Linked DNA regions of Ovis aries. The protein of the gene in region 7 purifies or fractionates together with the protein of the main gene of each other region. This does not show direct contact. Links are inferred from orthologs where the notes say so. Each region holds a gene or a part of one and is shown on either strand. Other genes may lie near its edges.

Evidence for each region.
Region 1: the proteins of DDX6 (region 7) and AGO2 purify together in Homo sapiens (affinity purification with western blotting; 5 studies listed by BioGRID and IntAct, with this or other methods). This does not show direct contact. The link is inferred for Ovis aries from reciprocal best matches to the Homo sapiens genes DDX6 and AGO2.
Region 2: the proteins of DDX6 (region 7) and LSM14A purify together in Homo sapiens (affinity purification with mass spectrometry; 4 studies listed by BioGRID and IntAct, with this or other methods). This does not show direct contact. The link is inferred for Ovis aries from reciprocal best matches to the Homo sapiens genes DDX6 and LSM14A.
Region 3: the proteins of DDX6 (region 7) and PATL1 purify together in Homo sapiens (affinity purification with mass spectrometry; 6 studies listed by BioGRID and IntAct, with this or other methods). This does not show direct contact. The link is inferred for Ovis aries from reciprocal best matches to the Homo sapiens genes DDX6 and PATL1.
Region 4: the proteins of DDX6 (region 7) and G3BP2 purify together in Homo sapiens (affinity purification with mass spectrometry; 3 studies listed by BioGRID and IntAct, with this or other methods). This does not show direct contact. The link is inferred for Ovis aries from reciprocal best matches to the Homo sapiens genes DDX6 and G3BP2.
Region 5: the proteins of DDX6 (region 7) and YBX1 purify together in Homo sapiens (co-immunoprecipitation; 4 studies listed by BioGRID and IntAct, with this or other methods). This does not show direct contact. The link is inferred for Ovis aries from reciprocal best matches to the Homo sapiens genes DDX6 and YBX1.
Region 6: the proteins of DDX6 (region 7) and LSM14B purify together in Homo sapiens (affinity purification with mass spectrometry; 4 studies listed by BioGRID and IntAct, counting the BioPlex papers as one, with this or other methods). This does not show direct contact. The link is inferred for Ovis aries from reciprocal best matches to the Homo sapiens genes DDX6 and LSM14B.

Annotation. Positions count from the first base shown.
Region 1 is NC_056062.1:16,050,760-16,054,750, forward strand, and holds part of AGO2 (protein argonaute-2), read left to right. Parts: intron 1-642; coding exon 643-827; intron 828-1,887; coding exon 1,888-2,047; intron 2,048-3,991.
Region 2 is NC_056067.1:44,115,485-44,119,475, forward strand, and holds part of LSM14A (protein LSM14 homolog A), read left to right. Parts: intron 1-3,421; coding exon 3,422-3,585; intron 3,586-3,991. UniProt on the Homo sapiens protein: Essential for formation of P-bodies, cytoplasmic structures that provide storage sites for translationally inactive mRNAs and protect them from degradation. Acts as a repressor of mRNA translation. May play a role in mitotic spindle assembly.
Region 3 is NC_056068.1:81,406,562-81,410,846, forward strand, and holds the end of PATL1 (protein PAT1 homolog 1), read right to left. Parts: intron 4,032-4,285; coding exon 3,876-4,031; intron 2,029-3,875; coding exon 1,937-2,028; intron 1,842-1,936; coding exon 1,692-1,841; intron 1,378-1,691; coding exon 1,356-1,377; 3' UTR 729-1,355; downstream 1-728. UniProt on the Homo sapiens protein: RNA-binding protein involved in deadenylation-dependent decapping of mRNAs, leading to the degradation of mRNAs. Acts as a scaffold protein that connects deadenylation and decapping machinery.
Region 4 is NC_056059.1:91,239,665-91,243,655, reverse strand, and holds part of G3BP2 (ras GTPase-activating protein-binding protein 2), read left to right. Parts: intron 1-382; coding exon 383-556; intron 557-1,000; coding exon 1,001-1,091; intron 1,092-1,972; coding exon 1,973-2,075; intron 2,076-2,593; coding exon 2,594-2,774; intron 2,775-3,758; coding exon 3,759-3,857; intron 3,858-3,991.
Region 5 is NC_056054.1:17,182,628-17,187,326, forward strand, and holds the start of YBX1 (Y-box-binding protein 1), read left to right. Parts: upstream 1-1,680; 5' UTR 1,681-1,819; coding exon 1,820-1,985; intron 1,986-2,240; exon of another isoform or gene 2,241-2,531; coding exon of another isoform or gene 2,532-2,565; intron 2,566-2,675; coding exon 2,676-2,739; intron 2,740-4,699. UniProt on the Homo sapiens protein: DNA- and RNA-binding protein involved in various processes, such as translational repression, RNA stabilization, mRNA splicing, DNA repair and transcription regulation.
Region 6 is NC_056066.1:54,762,791-54,767,580, forward strand, and holds the start of LSM14B (protein LSM14 homolog B), read right to left. Parts: upstream 3,190-4,790; 5' UTR 3,041-3,189; coding exon 2,914-3,040; intron 2,433-2,913; exon of another isoform or gene 1,155-2,432; coding exon of another isoform or gene 1,127-1,154; intron 1,011-1,126; coding exon 847-1,010; intron 1-846. UniProt on the Homo sapiens protein: mRNA-binding protein essential for female fertility, oocyte meiotic maturation and the assembly of MARDO (mitochondria-associated ribonucleoprotein domain), a membraneless compartment that stores maternal mRNAs in oocytes.
Region 7 is NC_056068.1:29,122,497-29,126,487, reverse strand, and holds part of DDX6 (probable ATP-dependent RNA helicase DDX6), read left to right. Parts: intron 1-794; 5' UTR 795-1,064; coding exon 1,065-1,264; intron 1,265-3,991.

The DNA.
Region 1 (3,991 bases), on a different chromosome or scaffold from region 7:
CTTGTGAGTTTCTTCACCTGCACTAACGTACTGGAGGCGGGGCGCTAACTGGCTGGGGTGGGGCAGCGTATCCTCGCTTTATCGTAAAAAGCTGGGATGTTTCTGTCCCTGCGCTAAAATGGAAGCTGTGGCTCGTCTCCCCCGCCCCGCCTGTGACGGCCGCAGCTGCTGGTGCTGCTCTTGGCTGCGGGCTGTCTTGTTTTCTCCCGTGGCCATGTCATCTGAGTCCAAGCTGTGTGCATGGGATAAACCGGGGGAATCCAAAGGGATAGTCAGTTCATGGCTCTCATTGCCCTGACAGTGCTCGGCGTCTGCGGGCAAGTGGGCAGCAGCTGTTTGTGCCCGACTGTAAAAGAACAGCCCTGTCGCTGCCTGGGAGGGTCACAGCTGGTGGGGGCGGCGAGGCCACGATATGGCGTCTCCTGTTACATTCTGACTTTTCAGGGACCTGTGTGCTGAGCACGTGGGCAGCCTCTGTACATTGTCTTGTTGAAACAACCTCATCTCGGGCTTCAGCAGGGACTCAGCTCAATGAAAACGGCCTGGGGTCTGGATCAGTTAACACTGCCCTTTCTCGGGGCCTCTGGTGGGTCTGGATCGTCGGCACTCTGGGTTCTTCATGTAACGACCCTGCTCCTCCAGGTCCTTCACGGAGCAGCTCAGAAAGATCTCAAGAGATGCGGGCATGCCCATCCAGGGCCAGCCATGCTTCTGTAAATATGCCCAGGGGGCGGACAGCGTGGAGCCCATGTTCCGGCACTTGAAGAACACGTACGCTGGCCTGCAGCTGGTGGTGGTCATCCTGCCGGGGAAGACCCCCGTTTACGGTAGGTCTTGGTGCTGCCCCTGCCCTGGCCCTACGGGTGTGCGGTGCGGCCTCTGCCACACCCAGGAGGGGCCTGTGTCTGAGTGAGACCAGGTGGTGTATGATTGTGGCATGCACGTGCCCAGGGCCACCTTGGCAGTGTCATCTGAGGCCCCGGTTCCCTGGGATGGGTGTCCCGAGGGGGTGCGGGATGCGGCAGGCGTGCAGTTACCTTGTCCGCTGCTGACACAGACTTCGGCTGGATGAAGAATGGTCACACGATATGCACGCAGTAATCCCCTCGGAGGGGCGGGGGCAGTCCTCAGCTCCTATTTGGGACTTGGCCCTCCTCTTGTGAACCGTGCCATCTTAGAATCCTCTGGGATTTGATCAGAGTCCTTTCTGCCAGAAGGCCGGTTGCACTTCTACCTAGCTCAGAGTTTCCAAGCCCTGGGATGGAGTCCCAGGCCCTGGTGGGGGAAGCTCCCGGGTGTAGGCAAGCGTTGGGGAGGTGGGTGCATGTGGGTCTGCTGGAAGCCCGGTGGGAACCGGAGGCCCCGTGCAGGGAGGTGTGTGGGCACCATGGGGAAGAGGGAAGAGAGGCGCGATTGGCTCGCTGACTGGCTTCCCCGTCTCCCATGGGCTTTGCATCCAGGAGCAGGAGGAAGCCCGGGTGACTTCTCCCAGGGTCTCCCGTCTCTGCTGGCCTGTCCAGAGAGCAGTTGCCCACTCGCTTCACAAGAGAACCCAGAATGGAGGGGGGTGTAGGCCTGGAGAGCACTTTGGCATCGGGTTTGTATTGGCCAGGGACTAAGGATTCAGGGGTTTATATTTTTGACTACTCAAGCGTTTGCTTGCTGACCCGAGTGCCTGGTTTCCAACCTGGCCCTGTGCACACTGCCCTGTCGGCCTGGAGAAGTTGCAGAAACGCTCCTGACTGAGAGCGGGCCTCCCTGAGCCGGTGGGGGACGCCCCGCAACTGGCACGGAGCTGGGTCCAGGCTTGGCCGTGTGTGTGTCAGGCGCACGGGGTGGGCAGAGGAGCGCCGGGAAGCCGTGCTGAGCACCCTGTTCTCTCGGCAGCCGAGGTCAAGCGTGTGGGAGACACGGTGCTGGGCATGGCCACGCAGTGCGTGCAGATGAAGAACGTGCAGAGGACCACGCCGCAGACCCTGTCCAACCTCTGTCTGAAAATCAACGTCAAACTGGGCGGCGTGAACAACATCCTGCTGCCGCAGGGGAGGTGAGGCTGGCCCTCTGCCATGCATGGGGCAGCGGTGGTGACACCCTGGGCAGGGCGATGCTGGGGTGGCTCTGCTCAGCTATGCTGAGTGCTGTCCCAGGCTTGGCAGGCGCAAGAAGTGAGTAGGACGAGGGTCTTGGCTGCTCCTGGTCTCCGTGTCCAAGGCCCCTGAGGACTGGTGCCGGCCCAAGGAGAAGGGCTCTCTGACCCCATCCGGAGGTGGGTCCCGCCTGTGAGATGTGGCAGCTGTGTGGCCAGTGCCGTGTAGACAGGAGGACCGCACCAGCACCCCAGGTGCCCTACGGTCAGTGCTAGGACAGGGGGCTTCCCGAGCAGGAGGCGGTGCTGTCGGCCCCAGGCCAGGGCCAGGCTCTGGGGGCTGAGCAGCAGTGATACAGCGGAAGGGAGCCCAGAAGGGTGAGGGCCTCATGGAGGAGGTGGCATGGTGCAGACTGGGCACTGGGGGCAGGGCTGTGTGGACACCAGGAGCAGCCTGCTCCAGAGGGTGCAGGCCGCGCAAGGGCCTTGGGGCAGCCTGCCTGCTGGGAGCGTGGCGGTCATTCGGCTCAGAGACCGAGGGGCGAGCCTGGGGGCCTGGCACTCGCTCCAGGGGAACACAGCCACTGGGGAGGTTCACAGGAGCGGCCCCGCTGACCTTGTTCTGAAAGGCGACCCCAGCTCTGGACAGACAGGAGGGCCAGGCCTGCCGGCGTCATCCCAGGAGAGCCACTGGTGGGAGCTAGGCCGGGGGCGCCCAGAGCCGTGACGTTTCGGCGATGGCGCTGCCTGGCTCACTGAGAGGATGCGTTTGGTCTGTGAGTGGAAGAGGAGAGTCTAGATTGCCCCACCCTGGGCTCTGGGAGCGATGAGGTGACGCCAGCTGAAGCAGGGGTGCAGGGGCGGGCTGGGGGGAGCCTGTGCTGGAGAGGCTTGTTCAGGGCTCCTCACGTGTGGGTGGTAGTTAGAGCTTGTGGGCTGGAGAGCACCCCGGGGTGCAGTGTAGACAGGAAGGACAGCCAAGCCTGGGCCCTGGGGGGTGCAGGGTTGGAAGGTCGTGGAGGCGAGGCGACAGCTCTGGAGCCCAGGAGGAGGTGGCGGGGAGCCCGTGCATGGCCGCCACACGGCACCGACCAGCCAGATGTGGCGAGGTGTGAGGCCCTCGGCCACAGGGCTGGGGGACGTGAGCAGGGTGCAGGTGACCCTGCAGAGAGCAGTCCTGTTGCCATGGCAGCGTGAGGCCCGGTCTGGAGGCAGGAGACGGGCTCAGCTAATCCCAGAGCTCTGCTGCCAGGCGAGCCTGGGAGCCGCGGGGCGGAGTGGACTGTCCAGTGGCTGCTGTGGTTGTGCCGGTTCAAAGTGTGAGTCAGAACTGCGTGTGTGGGTGCACCCAGGACCCATCAGAGGAAGGGGAGGGCAAGAGGAAAAGCTGTGGAGCCTGGGGGGCTCGGTGCAGGGCACCTGGGCAGCACGTGAGTCTGGGAGGAGAGAAGGATGAGGCATCAAGAAGGCTCCCAGTCGCACAGCCAGTGAGGCTGGGGCCCACCAGCTGTTGGAGAACTGGGCCCCCAACACTGCCTCTTTGGGGAGGTGACTGCTGGAGTGTAGCCAGCATTTAGAAGACCCTGGGAGAACAGCCTAGCTCTGTGTGTCCCCACTGGGACACATTCACCCCCCGAGAATATGTGGCTGTGTCTGGAGACACTGGGGTGCTGGGTAGAGAGCGATGTGGCTGCCAGGCGCCCTGCAGTGTGGCCGCAGGTCCAGGGTTGGCTGCAGACCTTGGACTCTGTGGACGCAACTATCTCGGAAACGCTCGGTCACCTCCCTCGTGCAGTGTGCGCCGCCTGCAGCCTCTCCCGCTCCGGGTCACTCTGCAGCAGGTCTCACCCCGAGCCTTTGTCCCCGTCAGATGTTCTTTGTCTGTGTCAGAGAGATAAGGAGTCT
Region 2 (3,991 bases), on a different chromosome or scaffold from region 7:
GAGAACTAAGTTGCTGCAAGCCGGGTGATGTGACCAAAAAGAAAAAGCATTAATAGATAACAGTATCAAAATCGCTGGTGAAGTATACCTAACAATGGAGTTGTCTGCCAGCTTGAAAGGGAAAAAAAGTAAGGTAGCATGATGGAAGAAAGTATAACAGAGCTAGTCTGCTACTTGGAGGCAAGGACAGAGTGCATCAGGATCAGGAAGAACCACACAGTAAGGACTGGTTACTGAGCCAGGAGGAAACTTGGGGTGAGTGGGAATCATACACTGTTCCTACACGGTTTTCTATGTTTAGCCACTGCTCCCTAAAATACAATAAATAAAATAGCAGGTTAAAATAAATTAGGGATGAAACAATGTGATTTCTGACTGTACTGACATAATTCCCTTATTAGCCAGTTGCACATGAGCTAATTCATGTATTAAAATTATTTGTAGCAGAATAGTACTGGTAATTTTCTACTTTGTCTGTTCTTGTCCTGCTTGCTCTTTCTGCTGTTAGCATCCAGGTTCCAGCCTTCACTACCTCTCATTTGTTCTGTTATCTTCCGGACATTTATACCCTTCTTATTGCTGTTCTAATTAAGTTATTTTTTATAATACTAGAAGAACTGTCCTGAAAGCATTAAAACTGATCAAATAGTCTCTATCATTAGAACCTGTTTCTCAAACTCTCAGTGTGTGCAAATGATTCTTCATGGTGTCTGTTGCCATGATTTTTTACTTTGACTCTCTTGCTGATGATAGAGATTTTCTTCATACCATATGTTGGAAAGTATGCTTTTAATTTTCAGCTCTACTGTGGGTTATCTTTATGACCGAAGATAACAAATTTTTAAGCCAATGTATGTGAATTTATCAACTTCCCCCAAACTTTTATTAGGTAACTCCTTACTGTAAAAGCTGGGAGTATTCATTTATGAATTTCCTTTCATGTTTCCTTTGCTTCTTATTTTCATCTCCCAACTTTTCTGAGAATAGAGTGTAAAATAGATACCATCTTAACAGCCCACAGTTGGAGAAGCCTGGTAGTCTATAGTCCATGGCGTCGCAAAGAGTCAGACAGGACTGAGCAGCTTCACTTCCCTTTTCTAACACTTGGTAACTTTGTAGTCTTTCAGAACTATTAAATTTGCATCCTATCCTAGCACCTTCAGCGGTAAAGAATCCGCCTGCCTATGCAGGAGTCATGGGTTCAGTCCCTGGGTGGGGAATGCAGTAGGAAATGCCAGCCACTCCAGTATTCTTTCTTGGAAAATTCCATGGACAGAGGAGCCTGGGAGGCATGGGGTCACAAAGTGTTGGACACGACTGAGTGAGTGAACACGCATGCACACTTGCACCTGGGTAAATTGTCACATACATTAATGTGTTTAAATGATTTTATTGTCCATCTCTTATTTTTCAATGCCATTGTCTCTGTGAGTTCTTTATTTTGATGTAGTAAAGGATAAGTCTGTATGGCTTATATTGCACTAAAGTTCTTTATTTTTTTTTTTTTCCTGGAAATACAGTGAAACCTTCTGATCATATTTAGGTCCTTATGTCAGGAAATTTGTTATATCTTTAGTTGCATTTTGTCTTACTTGTTCTGTTGTCTTTCTGAGAAACTATTCTTATTATGTTTATTCTGCAGCTATGTTTGTCTTACCTCTTTTTTTTCTTTCTTTAACTCTATGTGTTTTCAGTATGTGAGTTTTACTTTTCTTGAGAATATAAAGCAGTTCTTTCTGAAATTTTCTTGTTTCATCCTTCTTTTGGATACATGGATATCATTTGAATGGTTTTGTTATGCCTTGGATAGCCTAATAGAGCTTCTCTTTGGTTTTATAGATGGAAGACCTTTAACCCCACCCCACCTGCCCGCAGCTTCAGGATGAGCTGATTTGTTCCTTTGGAGGTCTGGGACTTAATAAAACTTTGTATGGTGGTAATAGTGCTGGTGCTGAGTTTAGGAGTGGGATTGATCCATTTGTAATTTTCCTAGCTTTCTTTTTGGTTAAAGGACAAAACATAAAACCATGTCTGTTACTTCTGCCCTGATACAGTATTGTTTGGCCACCAGAGAGAGAGAGGAGCTTCAGCTCTGACATTCTACATCTTTTCCTTTATCACATCTGTGTCCTCATCCATCAAGCTGGAGTATGCCTGGGAAATTCTTAGCATGCTATATGTGGATTCTGGAGTTGGCCTTCCAGAGTGGACTAACTCAAAAAATATCTGCATGATACTTTTTAATAAAGTTTTATGGTATAGGTTTGAGGTATTTTCTTGGTTTAGGGGTATTTTAACTTTTTAATTTTCTTTAGTTATAGGGTGGAATAGTCATCTGCAAACCTACAACTATGCCATTATCTTTTCCTGAAAGTCTCATAAGTACCTCAAAAAATTTTTAGGATTAAGAAAAAGGCATTTAAGCTGAAATATTATCTTCAGTCTAGCTATGGATAAGTTCTGCAGAAAAATATAAAACTTTGCACAGTGTTAAGGGATTTGCTTCCTCTAGGGTACTCTTTAAATGAATAATATCTGATATGGCAGGCTTTCTTATTTGGAGTGTCTATGGGGATGTCAACATTTTCAGAAGTCTCCTAAGAGAGTGAACCTGAAGCTTTAGTATTAATAAGAAACTCTTGAGGAATTGATTTAAAATATAGATATAGATTTCTGTATCCTCTTCACAGAAAATCTGAGTCAGTGGATTCCAAAATCTTTTTTTTTAGCTAGTTTACTCTGAAACAGCTGGTCACAGTTCAACTTTGAATAATGCCATCCTGAGTGTTAGAATAGTCAGATTTAATTACGAGGTAGATATTTTAGGTAACTAGGGCATTTCAGGCTGTCCCATGGAGCCGAGTAGCTCACAGAGGCTTTACTTGGTTTCTAGAGGATGTACTACTAACCAAGGAAGATATTCTTTTCATTGTCTTATCTTAAACCTGAAGCTCAATTTCCCGACTTTGGGATTTTTGTAGATTGGGAAAATCTTCACCACACACACACACACTCTCACTCACTCACTCACTCACTCACTCACTCACTCATACGAGTTGCCAGTTTTTTATTTTGCTGAATGGGAACATTAAAAATAAATCAATAATGAAAGGGCTTTTTTTAGCACCTCTTACCACAACCACCAAAGATGTAAGTAAGTGACAATGTAGAAAGAACACAATACTTTCTAATACAGTATTCATAATACTGATAGTCTTTTAAATTGAACACATGTAACTCTATGCAAAACCCACTTTCTTTTCGACTTTAAAAAAGATTTACTTTAGCTACAAATTAATGAATGCTTTCTCATGGAGGGCATTTAAGTGCCCCTTAGTATTATTGAAACAGTGCACCATAAAAGGCGCTATCTGAATACAGTGAGTAGACGCCTGTCTCATATCCTCTGTTTTCTTACCAGTTCGGTCCTTTGGTACAGAAGACAGACCAACAGATCGTCCAATACCACCTCGAGATGAAGTCTTTGAATACATAATATTCCGTGGGAGTGATATTAAAGACCTTACTGTTTGTGAGCCACCAAAACCACAATGTTCTTTGCCTCAGGACCCAGCTATTGTTCAGGTAACGTTGTAAATCTGTCTTGGAGTACAAATAAATTTCATACACATAACTAGCCTTGGATTTTACCTCCTTGTTTTAGTCTTTTAAATTTTCTCTATTGAATATTCATGGAACTTATTACCATTTTCTAGTTACCTAGATACCCAGAATAACTGGGTAATGTTCTCATCCAGGTTTCTCTCTTTAGATGATAAATCAGAACTAAGTAGAGTAAGAAATAGCTGAGGGATTTTTTTTTTTCCTTTGGCTCCGCCACACAGCATGTGGAATCTTAGTTCCCATGTGGAAGCCTGAAATCTTAACCATTGGATCACCAGAGAAAACCAGGAATTAATTTTTATCATAAGAATTTTCTGATTGCAGCAACAAAGTAGCTAATGTTTATTGAGTTCTGAGTTTATGAGAA
Region 3 (4,285 bases), about 52 Mb from region 7:
CGGAGAATAGGACAGCCGGCTGGAGCGGAGGGCCTCACTGCTGTACAATACATTTATGTGCAAAATGTTCATTTGGGTATTAAATACCGGAACCTGCCCCCCTCCCCACTACATTCAGAAAGGTGAGAGCAGCGAGGTGTGCTCAGGACAGGCGGGTGAGATCAATCAGATGCTGTCTGTTCAGGGCTGGCATCACCAGGGACCCAGGCCCTCATCTGGGTGACTGCGGAGCGGTAGAGGGTGGTGACGGGGCCACAGGCGCCCCCCCCCCCCCCCCCCCCCGGACACAGACCCAGGCCCTGGCTGCAGGCGAGACCAAGGGGCTAGGGCAGCGCTTCCGCCTGCCGAGCCGAGGGACCAAGGGGCGGAGCGGCGGCCTGCGCTCCCGCGGGGAGGTGTGGAGGCCCCCCCAGGACACCAAGTGCAGACAGGGAAGGGGACGTCAGAGCATGGCTCACTGCAGCGGTCTCAGGAAGACAGAGCGAGCGCGCTGACGCTGCGCGGTGGCAGCAGGCTCCAGGCCCGCGCTCCCGCAAGCCTCCGCGCACCTGCAGGCGCGGCTCAAGCGCCCGCGGCCAGAGCGGGGCCGGAGCGGGGCCGAGCCTAGCCGTGTGCCGCCTCCACTGCTGCGCTCAGAACCGAAGGAAACCCGGGCGGGGAGGAGACAAGAACGGCTCAGCTGAGGGCTGGGCACCGGCCACTGAGCGCACTGAGCTTATTACGCGTGCTGCATACCCTATATTTTATTAGAACAGGGAGAACCCATCAAATCAGCAGAGGATGGATGAGGAACAGATTAAAAACACATCAGCTGGGTTGTGGTTAGAGAAGGGATGGTGTGCCAACTAAATTTCTCAGTCTAAACTCGTTCTTTAAGGGCCCTCTGGAGGCCACATAAACATATGTGTCGGGGTGTGTGTGTGCGCGTATATATTTATATCTCTACTTCATCAGCTCTCCTACAGTCATAGAAATAAGGGGCGATGAGGGAAGGGATTCTGTGGCAGGCTACAACCTACTCTGAGTTGGAGCGGTGGTGGGGGGATGAAGGGAGAGGTTATGTTTGTGTCTCAAGGGCAAAGAAAAGGCAGGATGGAGAAGACTCGAGTAACGTGGGACATGCAGGACTGTCACACAGAAGGTAAGAAACCAGCCGAAGTGTGAACCCAGCCACGCTTCACAGAGCAGTGGGCAGGACCTGGCATTCAGAGACAGCCCCTGTGAATGGACTCGGTCCCACCAGACGCTCTGGGGAGTGAGCTACCTTCCCTCCCTCGTTTAAAACAACACTCCATTGGCGATGGCAGCAGAGCAGGAGGCAGCCAAGAGGAGGCACAGGACGCGCGTGGAGGCCTTTACCGTATCCCCTGAACTAGCCTACGGCACAAAGAGAGAGAGGAGACCTGTGTGAATGAGTTCAGAGAGCAGTCATCTGCACCAGAACCCAGCCCTGTGTGACCTCTCCTATCGGAACACTGCGAGATCTGGACCCCAGCTGCTGTCCCACTGGGAGGGTTCTGCTGCGGCCACAGTGCTTTACATCCAGCAGACACTCGTGTATTTCACAGAAGTCTTTAATCTCTTCCACTGGGCTCACGGCGTCTCACGCCCCTCTCACCCCCAACCTCCTCAGCGTAGCTTCTGAAGTGCCAGCTTCAGGGAGATGTGGGACCCTCCTGTTTCCAACTTACTGCAGCTTTGTCTCCAGCAAGTTCAGTTTCTGTCGGTCAACGTAGCGAGAGAAGAGGGATACTAGGTTTGTGGGTATAGAGACTGGCTTGGCCAGGCCCGTCTGGGGAATCCGCAAAAGTTCTCGGGTTGCCACGAACATCACCTCCGTCCTAACAGGGAAAACCGAGAAAAATAATAATGTAAGAAAAGGAATGAAAAAGAGGACCTGAAAGAACTTCAAAGAAGAAACACGGCCCAGACTGACCACGGGTTGCTTTGCGCCGATTCTGAAGCGGTGTCTGAGCTCTGTAGGTCTTCCCCGCGGCTCAGGACGAGGAGGAGCAGGGACAGGCCAAACTGTGAGAGGAGACAGAGGGTGTCAGATGCCGCACTGACGGCCGGGGCCAGCGCTGAATGCAGGCACCCTCCACCGTGCTGCTCCGAGCCCACGCAGAGCCCAGAAGGGTCCCTCCTGACTCGGCAGCTCAGGCTCTCAAGGGCAACGGGAGCCCCGGGCCCCACAGCCCCCAGCTCCCCCATCCCACCCTTTGATGAAAAGCAGACTCTTCCCTGCCACAAGATGGGGGTGGGGGGCGGGTAGCTTTTCTCCTATTTACTAGAACAGAAATAGAAGGGAAAGTTACAAGAAGACAAATTTTGATACAGAAAATTAAAAGTTTATAGAAAAAAACAAAAAAAGTAAAACATAGAGTTTGAATTAAGAAAACAGGTGTTAAAGCCCTGTGGGAAAATACACAAAGAAAGGGAAATGGAATGATTAGGCTATGAAGAAAACATTCCCTTAAAAAATGACATACATATCTGGAAATATAAAGGCTTAGAGGATGCTAATGAGAGTTTGAAAGATGAAGAGAGGATGAGCAGATCCATCCGCCGTATCTAGGACTGCTAACACATGAATATTTATTTCACTCCGTGGGCAGGAAGAGCAGAAAACACAGACTCTAAGGGGCAAAAACACGGGCGAGGCCGAGGCTGGACGCACGGGTCACGGCTGCCAGGGCCCAGGAAGGGAAGCGGGCAGGTCCTGGGACTCCAGCCCCCCGTCTGAGTCCACCTCACGGAGGATATCCTCGCCTTTCCACAAAGGTCCCTTCATGTCACTGTCAGAAAAACAGCAGGTCACATCATCTCATCTGCCTTCAGGCTTTTGCACTGCCTTTATCAAAATAAAGCTAAGGGACCGAATAACGTGGAAGGCACACAACTCCGGGACCCCGTCTCGCGTCCCGAGGCCCCGCCGCCCTCTCCGTCTCCGAGGCGCTCCCTGCCCTTCCAGCCAGGCTCTCCAGGTTTTCAGGTGCAGAAGAGCACCCCCCCACCCGCCCCGGGTCTCCTTGTCCCTCTACTGTAGCGGATGGTCCCGAGTGAGCGCCACTGCGTACCCAGCACTAAACTGCATCGTTCACGGCCGCCTGCTCACCTAAGTGACGCCGACATCACCTCCACTTTACAGATCAGGAAACCGGCTCAGCAAAGTGCAATGACCGGTTCACGGTCACAAACCTAGGACGCGGCCGAGGAGGGGTGGAAACCTGCTCTGCCTAAAAGCGCACCGCTCTCCTTCTGTACTGACTCCTGGGAGTCTCTGGACCTTTAATCTGATATAAATGAAATATGAACTGGGATGTCTTGTGACAAAGACCGCTCATTACCTACCTAATCCTCTTTCCTCCTACTAGATCTGACTCTACCCGTGGTGACAATGGCGTGAACTCAGAGATGTTTCCAGCCTTCCCTGCACTCGGGTGTGGCGTGAGACTACGAGCTGGCCGTTGAGATTAAGTAGAAGTCGGTGGTTAGAGCTCCGGGAAAAGGTCCAAGTGAGGAGGCCAGATCCCCCACACCCTTCAGCCCTTTAAACCCACCTCTCCTCCTGGTGCAGAGCGGAGCTCTAAATTCCACACCCACTGAGGACGCAAGCGTGGCAGCCGCTGCTGGGAGGGCACAGCAGGGGACCAAAGGAGTCTGCACCCCAACACAAACCGGGTTTTCTCCACGTGAGGTACAGAGCACCCTGTCTTGTGAAAATCACTACCACCTCCAGCTTCTGTCACCACGAGCTTAATGGAGCTCCCGGCTGAGGCTACAGCTGCAACCCCCTAGCCCTCCTGTTTCCCGCCAGCAGCCACCATTTGTACCCGTTCCTCGGGCTGAGAAGGCTCGCAGGGCTCAGGGCTCACCTTGTTCTGGAGCACGGCAGAGAGGTGCGGGTTGGACGGAGCTGGGGCCGCTGCACTCTGAGGTAGGTTCATCAGCTGCTGCAGAAGGCTGGTGACGGTCACTGGTGGAAGATGGTAGAGGAGGAGAGAGAAGGGACTCAATAGGCACGGCAGCACCTACCGGAAGACAGAACGGACAGGCCATCACAGTCTGGTAGCTGCTGCTTCTGCCACAGCCCTGAGTGGGCAGGGACGGAGGGGTGCTCACTGCCCCAGGCAAGATGTAACAAAGGAGCCTGACAAGTCCGGCAGATACTGCCAGCATCTCAGCAGCGGATTCCATGGCAACTGCTGAGAATTTTTTCCACGCGCACAGGAACATCATTACTTGTGTGAACCAAGGGTGCAAAATCACTTCTCAAATACAGAGC
Region 4 (3,991 bases), on a different chromosome or scaffold from region 7:
TGGGCTAAACCTTATGTTACAGGAATGAATAGAAATATATTCCTTATGACTATGTAGAGGATGTGGGATTTCAGCTAGTCTCTGAATTATAGGATTGGCCTTACCAAACAAGAGGAAATTGAAGGAAGAAATGCAGACAAGCAGTAAAGTAAAACCACGTGTGAGGTCATGTAGTAGTCAACATAGTTTATGGAGCATGGGTCTGTCAGTAATGCATAGCGTGGCGGAATGGATTCAAATGAGGCAGAGAGATTAAGCAGTTAGAATTCTAGAGTTGTGAGGAAATCGGCGGAAGTCTGTAGTATTGAATAGGTAACCTAGTATTAAAAAGGTAATGCAATATCATGAGTTTGTATTTCCTCCCTACCTTCTCCTAATAAAGGATATACACCACAAAGTATTATCTCTGAACTTCAGTGAATGTCATACTAAAATTCGTCACGTGGATGCTCATGCAACCTTGAGTGATGGAGTAGTGGTCCAGGTCATGGGTTTGCTGTCTAACAGTGGACAACCAGAGAGGAAGTTTATGCAAACCTTTGTTCTGGCTCCTGAAGTAAGTTTTCGTTTCAATTAATTTTCATTTATGTGATTTCATTTTGCAGTTAACTAGTTGCTGGAAGTGGCTAGAGTTTCCTCTTACAGGTATAGATATGCATGTAGCTGTTTTTGAGAAATCTGTGTTGGACCTGTTCGTTTTTTGAACTTTCTGCGCTTTGACCATTGAGCAGAAAAAAACGAGATCCTGATACAAATGTGCAAACAGATGATTAAGATTACAGAAGTAATATTAAAAGTGTGTTAATAGTTTGAAAGTAGTCATTTCTTGAGTTTAAGTATTCTGCGATTTTCTTCATATTAACATTATAGCATGTTAAGCTTTGGAAAATTATATTTAGTCTATATATTATTTCTGTATTAAAATAAAAACTTTATTCTCTTTATGTCATACCATGTTTATGGGTATTTATGGAGTATTTGGGGTGTTTTTTTTTTATAGGGATCTGTTCCAAATAAGTTTTATGTTCACAATGATATGTTTCGTTATGAAGATGAAGTATTTGGTGATTCTGAACCAGAACTTGATGAAGGTGAGGTTACTTTCAAGATACAAGGGTTTTGTTGGTATCAGTACTCTTTAATAACATGTAAAGTGTGAAACTTACAGAAATTTGACTCTGTAACTGAGTCAAAGCCCCTTTGCTCCTTTTTGTTCTTTTTTTTTGGTTTGTTTAAAAAACAGATGTTCTTTATATGAAATTATATAAAAATCATACACAGAAAGTAGAAAAAAAATCTCCCTCAATGTCATCTCTATAGATAACCAAGAATTTGGTGCCTACTACAGAATTTTGTTATATTCTATACCAACTGATACTTTCCTAAAAGTGGAAGTAGCTGATTCAAAGCTAGGCCTTTTTTTCATCTAATTTATCTTTGTTAGCTGTTGATATTTTTTTGTCTGTACCATAATTATTTAATCTTCTATTGACGTACATCAGCTTGTTTCTTATTCTCTGTCATTATTGCTTCATTGAATTAATGTGGCAAAGGAAACTGAGTTATGACTTTAAGACCATTTTTTCTGGGGACTTTGCTGATGGTCCAGTGACTAAGACTCCGCACTCCCAATGCTGGGGGCCTGAGTTTGATCCCTGGTCAGGGAACTAGAACCCACGTGCTGCAACTAAGATATGGCACAGCCAAATAAATAAATATATATTTTTTTAAAGACCATTTTTTCCTACTCTTTCCTTTTCTTACTAATAGATCTTTTTAAAAAATAGTGTAATTCCAAACTTCTTCTTGCTTGCTCTTTTTTAAGAGAACAAGGAATATTAAGTGCCTTTGTACTTTCAAGAAACACGCTATTTTTAAACTATTTTATGATTTCTTTGAACATTAAAAATATATATATGAAATTGTATATTAAGCCTCTTAATAAAAGATGTGGTGTATTATGTGTTGTCAGAATCAGAAGATGAAGTAGAGGAAGAACAAGAGGAAAGACAACCGTCTCCAGAACCTGTGCAGGAGAATGCTAACAGTGGTTACTATGAAGCTCACCCTGTGACGTAAGAATAGTGCTTGCAAGGCCACCTTTGGCCTAAACTATTCATATCATGTAGTTGCAAGTGGTTTTTGTTCCTAGAATTGTTGCTGAAAGTAAATTCTTGATAAAGCTATGTAGCCAGTGCCTGAGTATTTACCATGTATATGCAAGAAATTTGGAAAGCATTCTTACGTTTAATTCAAAAATCGAATGTGGGTTTGACCTAAAAGTGATCACTTGCTAATAATGTGTACTGTTTGGAACAACACAGAGTACGCATTTTATTTTTTAAATAATGGGTTTTCCTTATTTCCTAATAGTACTAAAGTAAACATGTTGAGTAATCCAGTTTTTACATTTAGGTTAAAGAAATGCTGCTTGAGAGTATTGTTCCTTCTGCCTTCTGGTTCTTAATGAACTTTGCTTCAAAACAGTGTATATTACTTGTTCTGCCCATTAATTAGAGAAATGCTGAATTTTCTCCTATTTGAGTTGATCATTTCACTCCTGCTGAAAAGTGAACAAAATATTTTGTTGTAGTAATGGCATAGAGGAGCCTTTAGAAGAATCCTCGCATGAACCTGAACCTGAGCCTGAATCTGAAACAAAGACTGAAGAGCTGAAACCTCCAGTGGAGGAGAAGAACTTGGAAGAGTTAGAGGAGAAGTCTGCTTCTCCTCCGCCTGCTGAACCTGTTTCTCTGCCACAGGAACCACCAAAGGTTAGATCAGAGGAACTCTTTAGACCCGTAACATCACGCTTTCATACGGTGCCGTTAATGAAGCATGACTTTTGTTCTGTTGTGTTAATTGCTGAATAGTAAACTGTGCTTTTTTATGTGTATGAAAGAAGCTGTGGGGTTTTTTTTTGTAATTCTGAGGAAATCATATTTCACCCCCTAAAAAACACCCCTCAGAATAAAATTTAAGATTGATTCTTATCTGTGTGCAGTGTTTAGTACCATACATGAAATTATTCGAGTCCATGTAATAAAGCCAAGTGTTGCTCTTCCATTCTGTATTAAGTCCTCTACACACGGATGCAAATAGGAGTCATGCAGTTTCCCAAGTTAAAACAAATTGGCCTATTGTTAAAACAAGTGATAACGTGTGCTATTTCTGGTTTAAATGGGAACAGTTTCCTTACTACACCAAACTGTCTTGGAAAGATGAGTGATACCCATAGTGTTTCATTTAAACCTACCTAAAACATCTTTTATCTTTCTGTAAAGTAGGTATATTTGGGTAGTGAGAGGAGGAGATTGCTTGCTCTATTTGTGAATGTCTGTTAAAGTTTCCAGCTAGTACTCTCTTCTTTCCTGTCCTTCCTCTCTCCCCTTAGCGCCATCACAACACCTTATCTTCCCCCCAAAAGGGGAAATAAATTGATTCTATTAGGTTCTTATTTTTCTAGCATGTGTAGTTGTTAGTGGTTTTGCTTGCCACTTGCTCATCTACTTAGAGCATATAGGAACTTGCTTGTGGATTTATTTAGTAGTTCAGACAAACAGTCATAATCTTGCATAATGAGATTTTGAAACCTGGCACATAGACTGGCATGTGTGTGTGTGCCTTTCTTTTTAGGAGTCCTCCAATATAGAGCAATAGTTTAGAAATGAAAAGAAAATATATATTTGGAAGTTTCCCTATAGGAATGTTGGTGGTTTTCCATGATTAGTAGTCTAGGTTTGTTGCATTTCCTGCAGGCTTTCTCCTGGGCTTCAGTGACCAGTAAAAACCTGCCTCCTAGTGGCACTGTTTCTTCCTCTGGAATTCCACCCCATGTTAAAGCACCAGTCTCACAGGTAACCAATCTGTGAACACATTGGATTGTATCCTTGTTACATTGCCAATTGCTTATCTTTTTCATACTTTTTAAAATGAGTCAATCAGAAATTATGGATTAAATATACAGAAAAATTGTATTAAATGTCAGTTG
Region 5 (4,699 bases), on a different chromosome or scaffold from region 7:
CTTCCCAGGTAGCTCGGTGGTAAAGAACCTGCCTGCCAATGAAGGAGACATGAGTTCCATCCCTGGGTTGGAAAGATCTGGAGAAGGAAATGGCAACCCACTCCAGTATTGTTGCCTGGGAAATCCCACAGACAGGGCAATATGGTGGGCTGCAATCCATAGAGGTTACAGAGAGTCGGACACGACTTAGCAACTAAACAGCCACCCCTACAATGAGCACTAGATGATGATGGCCTACATCAGAGTAGCAGCAGTAGGAATAAAGACTGGATTGGCATTTAGAGATTTTCTATGACTGATTCAGGGAGGCGTTTAGGAGGTGGAATTGACAGCCTAAATGATACCGATAGGGTAAGTGTTACCACACTAGCCTCCTAGGCGGCTTCCCTACTTCCAAGGTTCTAACCCATTCTCTACTCCCTAGCATTAAAAAAAAAAATCATTCCAGTCCCCATTTCAACTCTAAAATTACCCTTCTCACTACTGCCCTTAAGTTTCAGATAAAATGTTCCTAATTTAACCCGGCCTTCCTGTATAACCCAGCGTCTTCATTCTGGTCCTACATAACTACTTTAGTTGCATTTCCCCCAGACCCCCATCTCTTCCCTCTATGCCTTTGCATAAACCTCCATGTGCTTGAAGTCGGCTCTCTACCTTCTTCCCACGGCCACTCCCAAAACGCTTTGTGCGTTAGCAGCGCTGGGGTGTTTGGTATGTCGCATTTTGAATTTGTGCCTTCATCCCTAGACTGAGTTTAAGAAGGCTGCAACTGGCGAACTTGTCCATCCCCGGGAGAGAGCAGACGCTTTATAAAGAACGAAGGTGCAGGGCTTCATCTACTTCGTGTGGCAGCCTCAATTATGGCCGTTGTAAGAATAACATGCCTAGCTTGCTCAATAAACGTGAGTTGAAATTAAATCTTTTTTTGTGGCCAATACAAAAAGATGTGAATACTTAACAAGACAGTCCTCCTGTGCTTGGAAGGCAGGTCCCCATGGAGTACACCCCCGCCCTCCGCCCTCAATATTTTTAACAGGGGCTTCCTAATAGCTAGCGTGATCCCCCCCGCAGAGTGACTGGTTCGCCGTAAACCGACGCTCTTTGAATGGAGACGTTTAAGTATGTTCCAGAAACTCCCGGCTGTGCCGCGAGTACACGGCCATTGTAGAAAAGACGGCTCTATCTGCAGTAATGGTCTGAGGTCACAGGGACCATATTTGGAGCAGGGCGGGAGGGAGGCCTTCTCCACATGCAGCTATGGTGTCGTCGGGCCCCGTTCCAAGCCCCCAGGTCAGGCCGGGTAATCCCGGCGCAGGCATCTGGCCGTACCTTTCCTTCGGCCAGGACACAACCCTGGACCTGGAGCCGGCCCACCCCGGCTGCAGCCTCGTGAAAGTCACGTCCCCTCTTGCCCGTCCTCTCCGGTTCTCTATGGTTCTCGTGGTGACTCTACTCTAATTCTAGTTCCGGTCTCTATGGCGGCAGCAGAGGCAGGAACGGTTGTAGGTCGGCCGAATTAGCCGCCTAAAGGCCAATGAGAGTGGAGGAGTGAAAGACTATTAGCCAATAGAAACTAGGAGTTGTGGTCAGGTGGTGAGATTGACAACACTATTGACCAGTGAACGATGCTTAGGGCGGGTCGCTCGCAGGGCTTATCCCGCCCGTCCCGCCATTCTCGCTAGTTCGATCGGTAGCGGGAGCGGAGAGCGGACCCCAGAGAGCCCTGAGCAGCCCCACCGCCGCCGCCGGCCTAGTTACCATCACACCCCGGGAGGAGCCGCAGCTGCCGCAGCCGGCCCCAGTCACCATCACCGCAACTATGAGCAGCGAGGCCGAGACCCAGCAGCCGCCCGCCGCCCCCCCCGCCGCCCCCGCCCTCAGCGCTGCCGACACCAAGCCCGGCACGACGGGCAGCGGCGCAGGGAGCGGCGGCCCGGGCGGCCTCACATCGGCGGCGCCTGCCGGCGGGGACAAGAAGGTCATCGGTGAGAGCCGGACGTGGACGGGGGTGGGGCAAGTAGGGAAGTCTGGCGGCGGAACCGTTACCCGAAGCGGGGCGAGCCGGCGGGCGCGCGGCCGGCGGGGACCGTCTCGGCGGCGCGCGGCCGCCCCTCCCCCAGGCCCCCCCACTCGCGCCCTCGCGGACGCTGGCCCGCCCGGTCCGCGTGCCCGGCAAGCGCGCGCGCGCGCCGCCTCCCGCGCCCCCTGCGGACCCCGCGCGGCCGCGCGCCCCTCCCCCTGTGCGGCCGCGCGCCGCCGACCGCGTGTGCGGCGGGGTCCCTCCCCTCCGTGCCCGCCGGCCGCGTGCGCCCGGGCCCGCACGCCGTTGTTCCGTCCCCCACCCGCTCCCTTCCGCGTGTACCCTGAGGGCGCGGCGCGCCGCCTACGCAGGCCGGAGTGGGCCGGGCGGCTTCCCCCTTCTCACGTGCTCGCCGCCGCCCGCGGTCCCCGCGCACACCCAGCTCGGGCCCGCGCCCCGGGCCTGACCCGGGGCCTCTGCTGCGGTGGGTTCACCCACGTGGACCGTGCGGATGGCCGGCAGGCCCTGGGGAAAAAGGCTGTCAGGTGGCCATGGGTCTTTGCCAGGGAATGCGTGAGCCACCGGATGCTGAAGCGTGGCGGTTTTGAAAAAGGACGTCTAGTAATTGTGGGTTTTTTTTTCCTCTCTCCTTCAGCAACGAAGGTTTTGGGAACAGTAAAATGGTTCAATGTAAGAAACGGATATGGTTTCATCAACAGGTGAGATGACCGCCGCTGAAGCCCTGTCCTGCCTCTTGATTGCTCTCCTCCATCTGTAGGCTTTAGGAACTTGGGGTTGTTGGCGCTTGTGTAGGTTGCCATCCCTGGTGTAGGGCTAGTGGGGTTTTGTTTTCCTTGGTGACCGAAAGGATTAGGAGACGTAGAGATTGTCTTTGTTTTGTAGCTAAATGTTGATCTCTAGCTAACTTGAAAGATACAAAGCGATTTAAAAGGCAGGCGGAGTGAGTGAGCCATCTCTTACCAGGGCGAACTGAGAAAAAGCTAAGATCTGGTGTGATTTTGTTAGGCTTAGACACCTCGCATTTTTATCCGTCATTCTTTTCTATGTTACTGAAATTGGTATTTGAAATTGTGAGCCGCTGTTTACTATGTAGGTTATTTACAACTTTTTAACCTTTGGAGGTAACGTGCTTTGACAATGCAAGTATGTCATTTTGACTAAGGTCTTATTGCCTTATTCCTCCTACTTCCTTGTCCCCCCAAATCGTACCTGTTAAATCTTTGGTTGTAGCTTACAGTGACCTTAGTCCACGATTACATTCGTCTTTGTATTTGAAGGCAGAGCTGCAAACTGCATCTTAAGGATTAACCCTTTGAGTTGTTTGTAGCAGTGGGATGGTGACGGCAGTTCGCTCACAGTGCTCTTCGTGGTCCCTGTCAGCCGGGCATCTTTTCCAAGATGGCTGCCCGGGCTGGTGGTGCAGCTACAGGGTGTAGAGCAGTGTGCGTGCTGACAGCAGTGTTGGCCTTACAGGTGTGATGCGGTCATCGCAGCGTTGTATTTCTTAACACCCCTATTACGCTGGATGTTTGAAAGAACTTCAAGAGTAAGAAGTAATACCGAATGTTTCTGAAATGGACTCTACTGAGGGAAACCAAGTGGGCAAGATCAAGCCTAGACACACAATTGGCTGGCAAAAACCCACTAGTTACTCAAACGCTCAGAAAGCAAAAGAGATTGTAAGCATTTGACGGTCTGTTTTCCACGTTTGCAGTTGAGGAAACATTTTGTTTCTTCCAAAATCTTTAGGAATTTTCCATCTGTTCTTACACTGCCTTGGGACAGGCCAAGGCCACATTTTCTCATCAGTTTTTTGATAATGGGTTACTAGTGAGGAAGGCAGGGACTGCTTTGATGCCAGTGTTTGACCACTTTTTAGGTGATCTCTGAATTTGTTAGTATTTCAGTCTTACTCTGATTTTACTTTGGCCTCACCCTTAAACCAGTGGTTTTCGAATTTGTGTGCTTACCTTGAAAGGATAAAAGTACACATTCCTGAGTTCTTTCTTAGCTTAGATTCATTGGGTCTGAAGTACATTTTTAAGGAGAATTCCAGGTGATAATAGCCTGTAAGCCTTAGTTTGAGAAACACTGCTTTTGACCTTTGACCCAGTGTGGCGATAGGCTATCACAGGTGTGCCTATTAGGAGTGATCTATAATTTGCAGCCTTTTAAGTAATTTGTGTGTGTGTTTTAAAGATTGTGGTATATATGTGCCTTCTGTTCTGCTGCATTTGTTAAATGGATCTAGATTATATTTGTAGGTGAACAATTGATAATCCAAGATAAAAGCAGTTCTTCGGGTTCTAAGTTTATTCTGTGAGATAACCATTCCTTTATCCATCTAACTTGTAATCAACTCTTTTGATCATCAGATAGGGCAAGTTAAATGTAAGTTGGCTTTTAATGATCCTTTGTTTGGATTGTCTTAACCACAGTGTTTTGTCAAACTAACTGGTTCAAATAAATGTGCTTCACATTTCTAAACTGGTTGTCTCAATGATTCAGAGACTTTTGAACAAGACACTATAAAACCTAACAGAAGTTAAGTCCAGGAGAGGTTTACCTTCCTTAAGGGAAAATGTATAGCAAATGGTTCAGGGCTGTAGGCACCTGGCTTTCCTGAGAGAGAGAATGTGTGTGTGATGGGTGCTGTTT
Region 6 (4,790 bases), on a different chromosome or scaffold from region 7:
CTAAAAACTCAGAGGACCAGGGGCATCGACTAGGCCCTTCCCCCAACATTCAGGGGCCCAGCTGTGCCACTAGGGAACTGTCTTCACGCATCTCCTCTCTGGCTCCCCACCTTCAGGTAGACTGGTGCCTGGGCCCCGCTGTCTCTCAAGGACTTGCTCAGGTACTTCCTTCTTGTCAGCTTCCTAGGGACACTCATTCCAAACCTTTCCAAAGTCTGGCCTGGGGCTTCTTTACGGGCTCCACAGCCCAGAGTGCAAGCTCCTACCTCCCAGGGGGCACACTCAGCCCCAGAGCCTCCTGCAGTGTGAACCCCAACAGAGTCAGTGACTGTCGAAGTTTACAAGTCAAGAAAGTATCAGCCTGGGCTCCCTAGTAATCCAGGGCACATGCCCTAACGCAGCAGGCAGGCATGTGGCGTGAAACCTCCAACATCAATGTTCCACAACTCTGAATACAATTCCTGGACAGTGTGGAAAGAGCGAGTTCCACTGACCCAAGTCCCTCCAAGCATCTCTGCTGCTCATAGCACGCCACTGGGGCTTCAGGCTTTCCCAACCTGACACTAAGGACAAGCCCTCCAGGTGCATATCAGTAATTTCCCCTAGAAGCATCTCGCCCCAACCCCTCCCAGCACACCCACCTCCCTCTTCAGTACACCCCACTGCATGCTAGAGGAGCTTAAGACCTCCCACAGAACACCAACCGTCTAGACAAAAATTCAACTACTTTTCATGAAAAGATCATTTTTTGAGTTGAGCACTCTGGCCAGATGACACCAAGTTCCACTTGGAAACCAGCACCTCTTAGAAACAATGTCCACAACAGAAACACAGCGAGGCACTTACTTGAACGATAGCAGGATCCTGAGGGAGCGTGTGCTGAGCTTTCGGAGGTTCACACACAGTAATATCTTTGATATCACTTCCCCGGAAGATGATGTACTCATAAATCTCCTCTCTAGGGGGGGCAGGCCTATCTGTGGGACGGTCTTCAGTACCAAAGGACCTCACTTAGGGGTTGAGAAAAAGAAGGGTTAATTTGTTGTCCTCAACCAAGTGCATTCAATCAGTCCCCTCCTAGGAGCCATCCACAGCACCCAGTTTCCATGTTTCAACTAATACCCACCCACAATTATCAATGGAGAAGATGCCATTATCAACTGACAAGACCCCAGCTGTCGAAGCTCCAAAAAGTTCTAGGTCACAAAGGACAAGGAAAGATTCATGAAGCTCAATGTTCTCACTTTCAAATACAAGCCAGCACTCTCACAAAATGAGTCGTCTGGTTTGCAGAACCCCCGTTCACGTCTGACTTAGCAGGTTAAACGGCCCCAAAGCTGCTTTTTGATTGAAACTTCACGACACATCAGCCCTGGGGAGTCTGTTTTCAACTGAGAAAAGCTGTGGGTTGAGTGCTATCCCCACCCTTCTGTCCACAACCAGCCTGGGAGGAGCTGGTAGAGAAACAATGGGAGGGGGGGCCCTGAACATGGACGCCCACCAGCAGTGTCACGGTCTCCTAGAGGAACTTCCTAGGGGGTTAATCCTTAATGGCAGGGTTCAAGGAGCCCAAGCAAGTGTCTCCTGGGATCTCTGAGGCACAGATGGGCTTGAGGCTGCCTCTAATTTGAGCACACTGAGGACCAGGGACTACTCTGGGCCTCAGGTTTTCCAACCAGGGTCTCAGGCCAAATGCGGTCAAAAAGTAAAAATAATTATAATCTTATAATACTAGTTAGTAATTAGTACTTATACTAACACAATACTAACAGTACTTGTATCAACACCTCCTGGAGCAACGCATCCATCAAAAAACTTAACAACTAGTCTTTGGAGGACCTATTCCCAGAGCTGGGAACTGACTGCGACCTAAAGGCCTGGGGCTCTAACACAGGAGCGTGCGCGCTACGCCTTGACCCTTGAAGTCCATGACAATGTCCTTAGCCTAACAAGACCCACCAACCACACGGGGCTTCTGTAGACCTGGCTGCACGCAGCACTTCTAGGAGGCAGGGGAACCACACTAGTTACCTTCCCGGAGGATGAAGACAAAGGAACTTTGGGGCCACCTCCTGCCTCAACACACTCAGAAAGACTCTGGGCTCCAGCAGAGGCACAATGCAGCCATCTTTTCCCTAGTCTCCCAGGACTTCAGTGGGGTTACCAGCACCCGCAGGGAGGGGTCTGTCACCAAAGGATAAACCCACACACCAAACGTCTGAATTAGAGTAGGAAGGCGCTTTCAAAAGGAGCACCTAGCCGCAAACCGATGCTCTTATCCTGGCAGGAGAATCCATTAAGACGTGGTATTTGTTCAGGCTCAAGGCCCCAGCTGCTTAATAGGTTCCAGAAGGGCTTGCAGGAGTCGTTTTCTCACCCCCTGCCCCCACAGCGTCCCGGAGAGGCCCGGCGAGACTCGGGTCTGCCCACCCCCCCCATCCCTCCCTTCCCCTCCCCTCCCGCCAGGGACCAGGTTTTCTCGGCTCCCGCGGCCCGCGGCCCTAGGGCAGGCAACCCCAGCAACGCCGAGCCCCCACCTATAGAGGTGGGCTACGCCACCATGGAGAACGGGGGGCGGCGCCGCGGGAGCTGGACCCGCCCCCACCTCCCCACCCCAACTCCGGGCTGCGCGGGGCGGCCGCTCACAATTACGCCGCCTCCGGGGCCGGGGGAGCCCATTGTGCGGGTCGAGCCCCGGAGGGCTACAGCGGGACAGGGGCGGAGGCCGGGGGCGCCGCGGGGGGCGCGGACCGGATGCGGGGGCGCGCAGGGGGGCGGGGGGAGGGGCACCCCGGGCGGGTGAGGCGGGACTGGGGAAGGGGCGCGCTGGTGAGGTGGGGGTAGGGCGGAGGCGCGGACCCGGCTGTTGGCGGGGGTGGGGGCCGGACGGTTGGGGCGGCCGCGGGGCGCTACCTTTGGCGAGCGCCACGGTGGAGTTGTCCGTGTCGATGGTGTAGAGGATGCCCTCGTAGCGGATTTGTGCCTTGGAGATGAGGCTGATCTTGCTGCCCAGGTACGGGGTGCCCGAGGAGCCGCTCATGGCGGCGGCCGCCCGGCCGGGCTTGGCCCGCTCGCCTCCGCGCGGTCGCCTCGTCGCCCTCTCCTCGGCCTCGGCGCCGCCTCACCGCCGTGCGAGGGCCTGCGCGGGGACCAGCGAGCGAGCGGCGGCGGCGCGCAGCCGGGGGCTCTGAGGGGAGCGCGGGGGAGGAGGGGCCACAGCAGCCACATCCGGGGCCTGCGCCGCCACGCCCCGCCCCCACACGCTGGCCGCCCATTGGATCGCCTCGCCGGCCTCCCTTTAAATATGGCCGTGCCGCCGGCCTGGGGGCGGGCCCGCGATCTGCTCCTGCGCAGCTCGCGCCACCAGCCCGGGCGGGCTTTTCCCTGCGTTCCGTCCCACTTCTCGGCTGGCTCCCGGCGGGCCCCGCGCAGGGTGGTAGCACGAGACGCGACTGGCAGGACTGGGGGAGGGGTGGGAATCGGCCGGGGCGGAGCGCGCGTGCGCGGGAGGGGCGGGACACACGTGTGGCGAAGGGGCGGGGCGCCAAGTTCTGCCTGCGGCGCGTGCTAATCTCGCCACCCAAGGGCAGGGAGCCAGTGGACAGTTCACGGTTCTCAGTTTCCTCTTTATAGCAGCTTGCCGGACATCTTTCCCCGGCCCTGGGCAGGAAGGCCAGCGTGCGCCTCAACTCTCCCGTTCCCCAGGGGTGAAGATTAGGGGCTCCCTTCCTCGGGGAGTGACGCGGGCCGAGGTCACTGACCAAGGAAGTCGGGGTCACTGCCCGTGGGGTGAAGGTGGGAGGCCGGGGAGGTCTCTTCCTTGAGGGTAGAAGGTAGGAGGCCAGGCCATAATCATTGCCTGCGGGGTGGAGGCGAAGGGTCGTGGGGGAGGGTCTCTTCCTCGGGCGGAAGAAGACAGGTGATCAAGGTCACTGCCTAGGAGGTTAGGGTGGGGGCTGCCCCTCGCGCGTGGGGCGCCGTAGTAACTGCGGGTAACGAGCGCTTCCGGCGAGTTGGCCGCTAAATATAACATGCTGAGCGCATCTTCTCCTTTAATCCCGCCCCTCCCCCTCTCCTGCGGTGGCGTTCCGTGTCCCTTAAAATAAATCCCAGCCGCGCCACGAGAGCCTCCGAGCCCCGCCTGACCTGGCCTGCGTGCCTCCTTGTCCGGCTCCGGCTGGAGGCCTCGCAGTGAACTGGGGAACCGGTCTCCCCTCCTGTTCGCCAGACCCCTCTTGCCTGCACAGCCCTGTATTTTATGGGTGGCTACGTCTGCACTTGCTTTTTTTTTTTTTTTTTTGGTTGGTCTCTCTCTTGACATCAAATCAGAAGCCAGTATTGGGTCGTGTAAAAGCTTAATGAGTGGTGACCAGCATTTTATAAAAACGAAACAGAATGAGGTGGAGAGCATCTCAGGGAGAGTGCTCTGGCTCTGGGAACCGTTTATTTCAGGTACTCGTATTTAAGTGGGTACTTGACCAAGATGTAAAGTGCGTTGCTTGCAGTAAGTGCCCAATGAAAACGTGAGAGCCACCGCTGTGAACCCCTTACCACACCATGCACATCAGCTCTGACTCCCCATTTTACAGAAGAAACCGAGCCCGGGTGTGGGAGGGTCACGCGGCCCGCAGGTTGCAGATGCCACAGACTCCTGCCCTTGTGAACCCCCTGGTCCCACAGGCACCCTGCAACAGAACAGTATTGGGTTGGAGAAAAGGGAGCAGAGAAGAAGCAGAAGATAAGATGAAAAAGTCTTCAAAGTGTAACTGCCGAGATTTAGCTGTGCTTCT
Region 7 (3,991 bases):
TTCAAGTTGAGACATACTTTTGAAAGAGTTATATTTTAAAATGTAACATTTCTGTAGTAGTCAGACTTAAGTAAGATAGCTAAAGGTTTTCTTGGCTGTTTTTTGAACAGAAGATTTTGACATGTAGACGTATTTATGTCCCTTGACTGCTTTAGTTATTGTTTTTAAAGGGCAAAAACTTAGGGGGAAAAAGAAAGTGTAGTTTCTTCAGGTTTAACTTCTTTGGTTCAAATTCATAAGGGCATACATAATGCTTTTCTGAAAGCACAAAGTGAAATCAAAAGCTCAACTCTTCAAGGATTCTCAGTTGTCAGAAACAGAAAAAAAAATGAATGAATGGTTTTGCCTTGTTCCTTTGTAGATTTACATTAATTAAGCTGTGCCATTCTTCATTGAGTTGTAATGCAATTGATTGTAATGAATCATTGACTTTTAGAGGTGGCAGGGACTTTAGAGAATTCTTCCGGGAGGAAACTGAAGGGAAGAGATTATCATCTGACAGCTAATGCTAATTTAATCACAGTATTGTTCTACCTGATATTTTCTGGGTTGGTTTGAACTGACAGTTTAAATGAGATCTGTCTCAGTGCAGGTTTGGTTTTTGAAGCAATTCATTTTTTTCCCCCCTCTTTCCTATCCTGGATAGTGATTTGATCTACATGCAGCTGTATCCTTAATTCTTTAAAAGAAGAGAGTGCTTATAAAGGAGTTCTTCAAATGGAAACAACAAAGGGGTGTTTTTTTTTTCTTCAAAATTTACTGTTTGCTGATTTAACTTTTTTTCTTTGTTTCAGATTGAAGTGAGATTCAGATACATACTCAACCTTGTTAGAGGGCTTTTTAAAAAATTAAAGAGTTGATTCCTGCATGAGAGCAAGTTATTGCTGCTTACCGTTCAGAGACTTACAGGTGCTTGCCTGCATTGCAATAAAGGACTCATATATTGAGCAAGACTTATATTTATCTCTTCGTTTTGGAGAGCCTAATAAACTGTTATTACAGTTTCTCTACTGACTTTCAAAAGTTTTGAAGTTTGAAAGAGACATCTTTAAAATTAATACAGCATGAGCACGGCCAGAACAGAGAACCCTGTTATAATGGGTCTGTCCAGTCAAAATGGTCAGCTGAGGGGTCCTGTGAAGCCCAGTGGTGGCCCTGGAGGAGGGGGCGCACAGACTCAGCAACAGATGAACCAGCTGAAAAACACCAACGCAATCAATAATGGCACTCAGCAGCAAGCACAGAGTATGACCACCACTATTAAGTAAGTGTTAGAATAAATAATAAACACACTTGGGGGACCAAGGAGATATATTTCGCTACTTTGTTGTTGACTACTTTATGTATACCATTTTAGTTTAACCATTTTGATTTGAATAGAGGACAGTTGACTGTTTATGGTCAGTAGGTATTTGTGATAGAAGAATGTCTCTCTGTCGTAATTAATTCAGGTTTGTTAAGTAACAAACATAGGCACGGATAATATATATTAATTTTTTTCATAATGAGCTCAAATTCATCTTGTTTTTGCCAGTATGGCTTTTTTTCTAGTGTGATAACTTGACTTTATCCTAGTTTGAATGGCAGTTAAAGCCAATCTTAAAGACCTGTCCAGCTTTCTGAACTTCAGAGGTACTCAGAAAATTTATCCATAACTTTTTTTTTAGTCTATGACGCTTTGCTTTTCTGTCCTATTTTATTTATTTTTAAAATACGCTTTCTCCTTTTACACATACACAAAATAATTAGCAGTTTATATCATAGGGAACTCAGGACTTCAAACAGTTTGGAACACATCTCTGAATAGTCCCAAACCTCTTTGAAGACTTTTAAAAACTAAGAGCCTTATTTTACTACGGAATATTTTTCTTTTAAATTTGAAAGCATTTAGGCTGTCATCTCAACTGATCGACTTCACTTTGACTTTTCACTTTCATGCATTGGAGAAGGAAATGGCAACCCACTCCAGTATTCTTGCCTAGAGAATCCCAGGGATGGGAGAGCCTGGTGGGCTGCCATCTGTGGGGTCGCACAGGGTTGGACAGACTGAAGCGACTTAGCAGCAGCAGCAGGCTGTTCTCTTTAAGTGTACACTTTAAAGTATGTGAATGGTGACTATGATTCCAAAGAATCAGTTTAATAGAAAATTAAGAATCTTGACCCATTTGGTATTTGTGTTTGTTAAGAATCTAGCTGTGTAAGTTGATTTAACCTCTAGAAATGTGATGAAACTCAAAAGTGTGTTTTATTACAATCAAAGTCTTTTCCATGCTTAAAAGAAGCATTTACTAAAGAAAAATAGCCCAAATTTTCAACAGAATTCATTTGGTCACTGGGAGAATTGACATTAATGCATATTATTATTTTTGAGGTGAATAATTAGAAATAAAAAATGTTTTCTAAATTGCAGTTTGTCTTGACAAAATATGAATAGACTAGCAACAGTTAGTCTACTTTTAATTTGAAACATAAAGCTGCATTATTCCATTTTGAGAGCATTTTCTGCTTAAACTCTGATTTGAGACTGCAGTGGATTTTGCCTTTTTTTTTTTTTTGCTCTTCTTAAATAGCTTTTTTCCAATTCTGTGACTCTTTAAATTTCAGTTGAAATACCATCTCTTCTGTGAAGACTCCTAGATCCCATGTCTCAGAGATAGTTAATACCTATCTCTGTTAGTTAATCTCTCATTAAAAATTTTTTAACTTTCTAAGATGATGATTTTTTTTGTGGGAAGATTTTGCGTTGTATCGTCTGCATCTTTATCCACTGTTTAGTGAATTTGACAATGTGACAAGCTGTCCTACTAGGATGTTCAACTGAAAATGCTCAGAGACTTTGGTGTGGTATTATAGACTGGGGTGAAAGGCTTTAGAACTCTTGGATTTGGTGGCAAATAGTTTCCTGTGATAGAGTATCTTGGATTATGTGGGATGAAGCTTTAAGTAAAATACGTCCTTATCTTCCTGAATGAATACTCGAGATCTTTTGGGGGGGGGGGCTTTAATTATGAGCTGTTATCATTAAATCAGTGAAAATTTAAAAGACAGTTGAAAGCATTGTCTGCTTTATTGACAGTTTTTTTTTCTGTTAGATGCTTTGGATATTATATTACTTGAAGTTTTTACATGACCAAAAAGAAAATTTTTTATGTTTTCTTTGTTATTTTCTTTCATGGTTTCAAGCATCCCCATTAAAGAAGATTGAGAGATGTTTTTTATTAACAGCTAATTTTTCCAGGCACTGTGCTGCATGCTTTATAGAAGCTATTTTATATAATTTTTATCTCTTTATATATGAAAGAATGGAGATTTAGAAAAGTAACTGTTGCAGGGTCACAGAACTGATACATAGAAGAGTCAAGGCTTGAACTGAAGTCTGAAACCTTATAGATTCTTTGGTTTTAACTAGTCACCGGGAGCTACAAAATCAGATGCCTATAGGGGACTGCCAGAGAAGGCAATGGCAACCCACTCCAGTACTTTTGCCTGGAAAATCCCATGGACAGAGGAGCCTGGTAGGCTGCAGTCCATGGGGGTTGCTAAGAGTTGGACACGGCTGAGCGACTTCACTTTCGCTTTTTACTTTCATGTGTTGGAGAAGGAAATGGCAACCCACTCCATTGTTCTTGCCTGGAGAATCCCAGGGACCGTGGAGCCTGGTGAGCTGCTGTCTGTGGGGTCGCACAGAGTCGGACACTACTGAAGCGACTTAGCAGCAGCAGCAGCATAGGGGATTGCCAGATGAGAGGGGACTTGACCTATTTAAAGGCATCAGGTGCTTGATTTTAAACTCCAGTTACTAATGCCTATCAAACTGTTGCTATGCAGAAATTTGGAACCAGTGTTGCTGCTAAAGCTTCCCCCCCCCCCACAAGAAAATCCAGAATCAACTTTATACAAAATATCCTAGTTTTTTAACGTTGGCAACTTTAAATGAAGCAGTACTGTTTAGGTCAGACAAAACACATGGGTTACCAGTTTTGAAAACAGT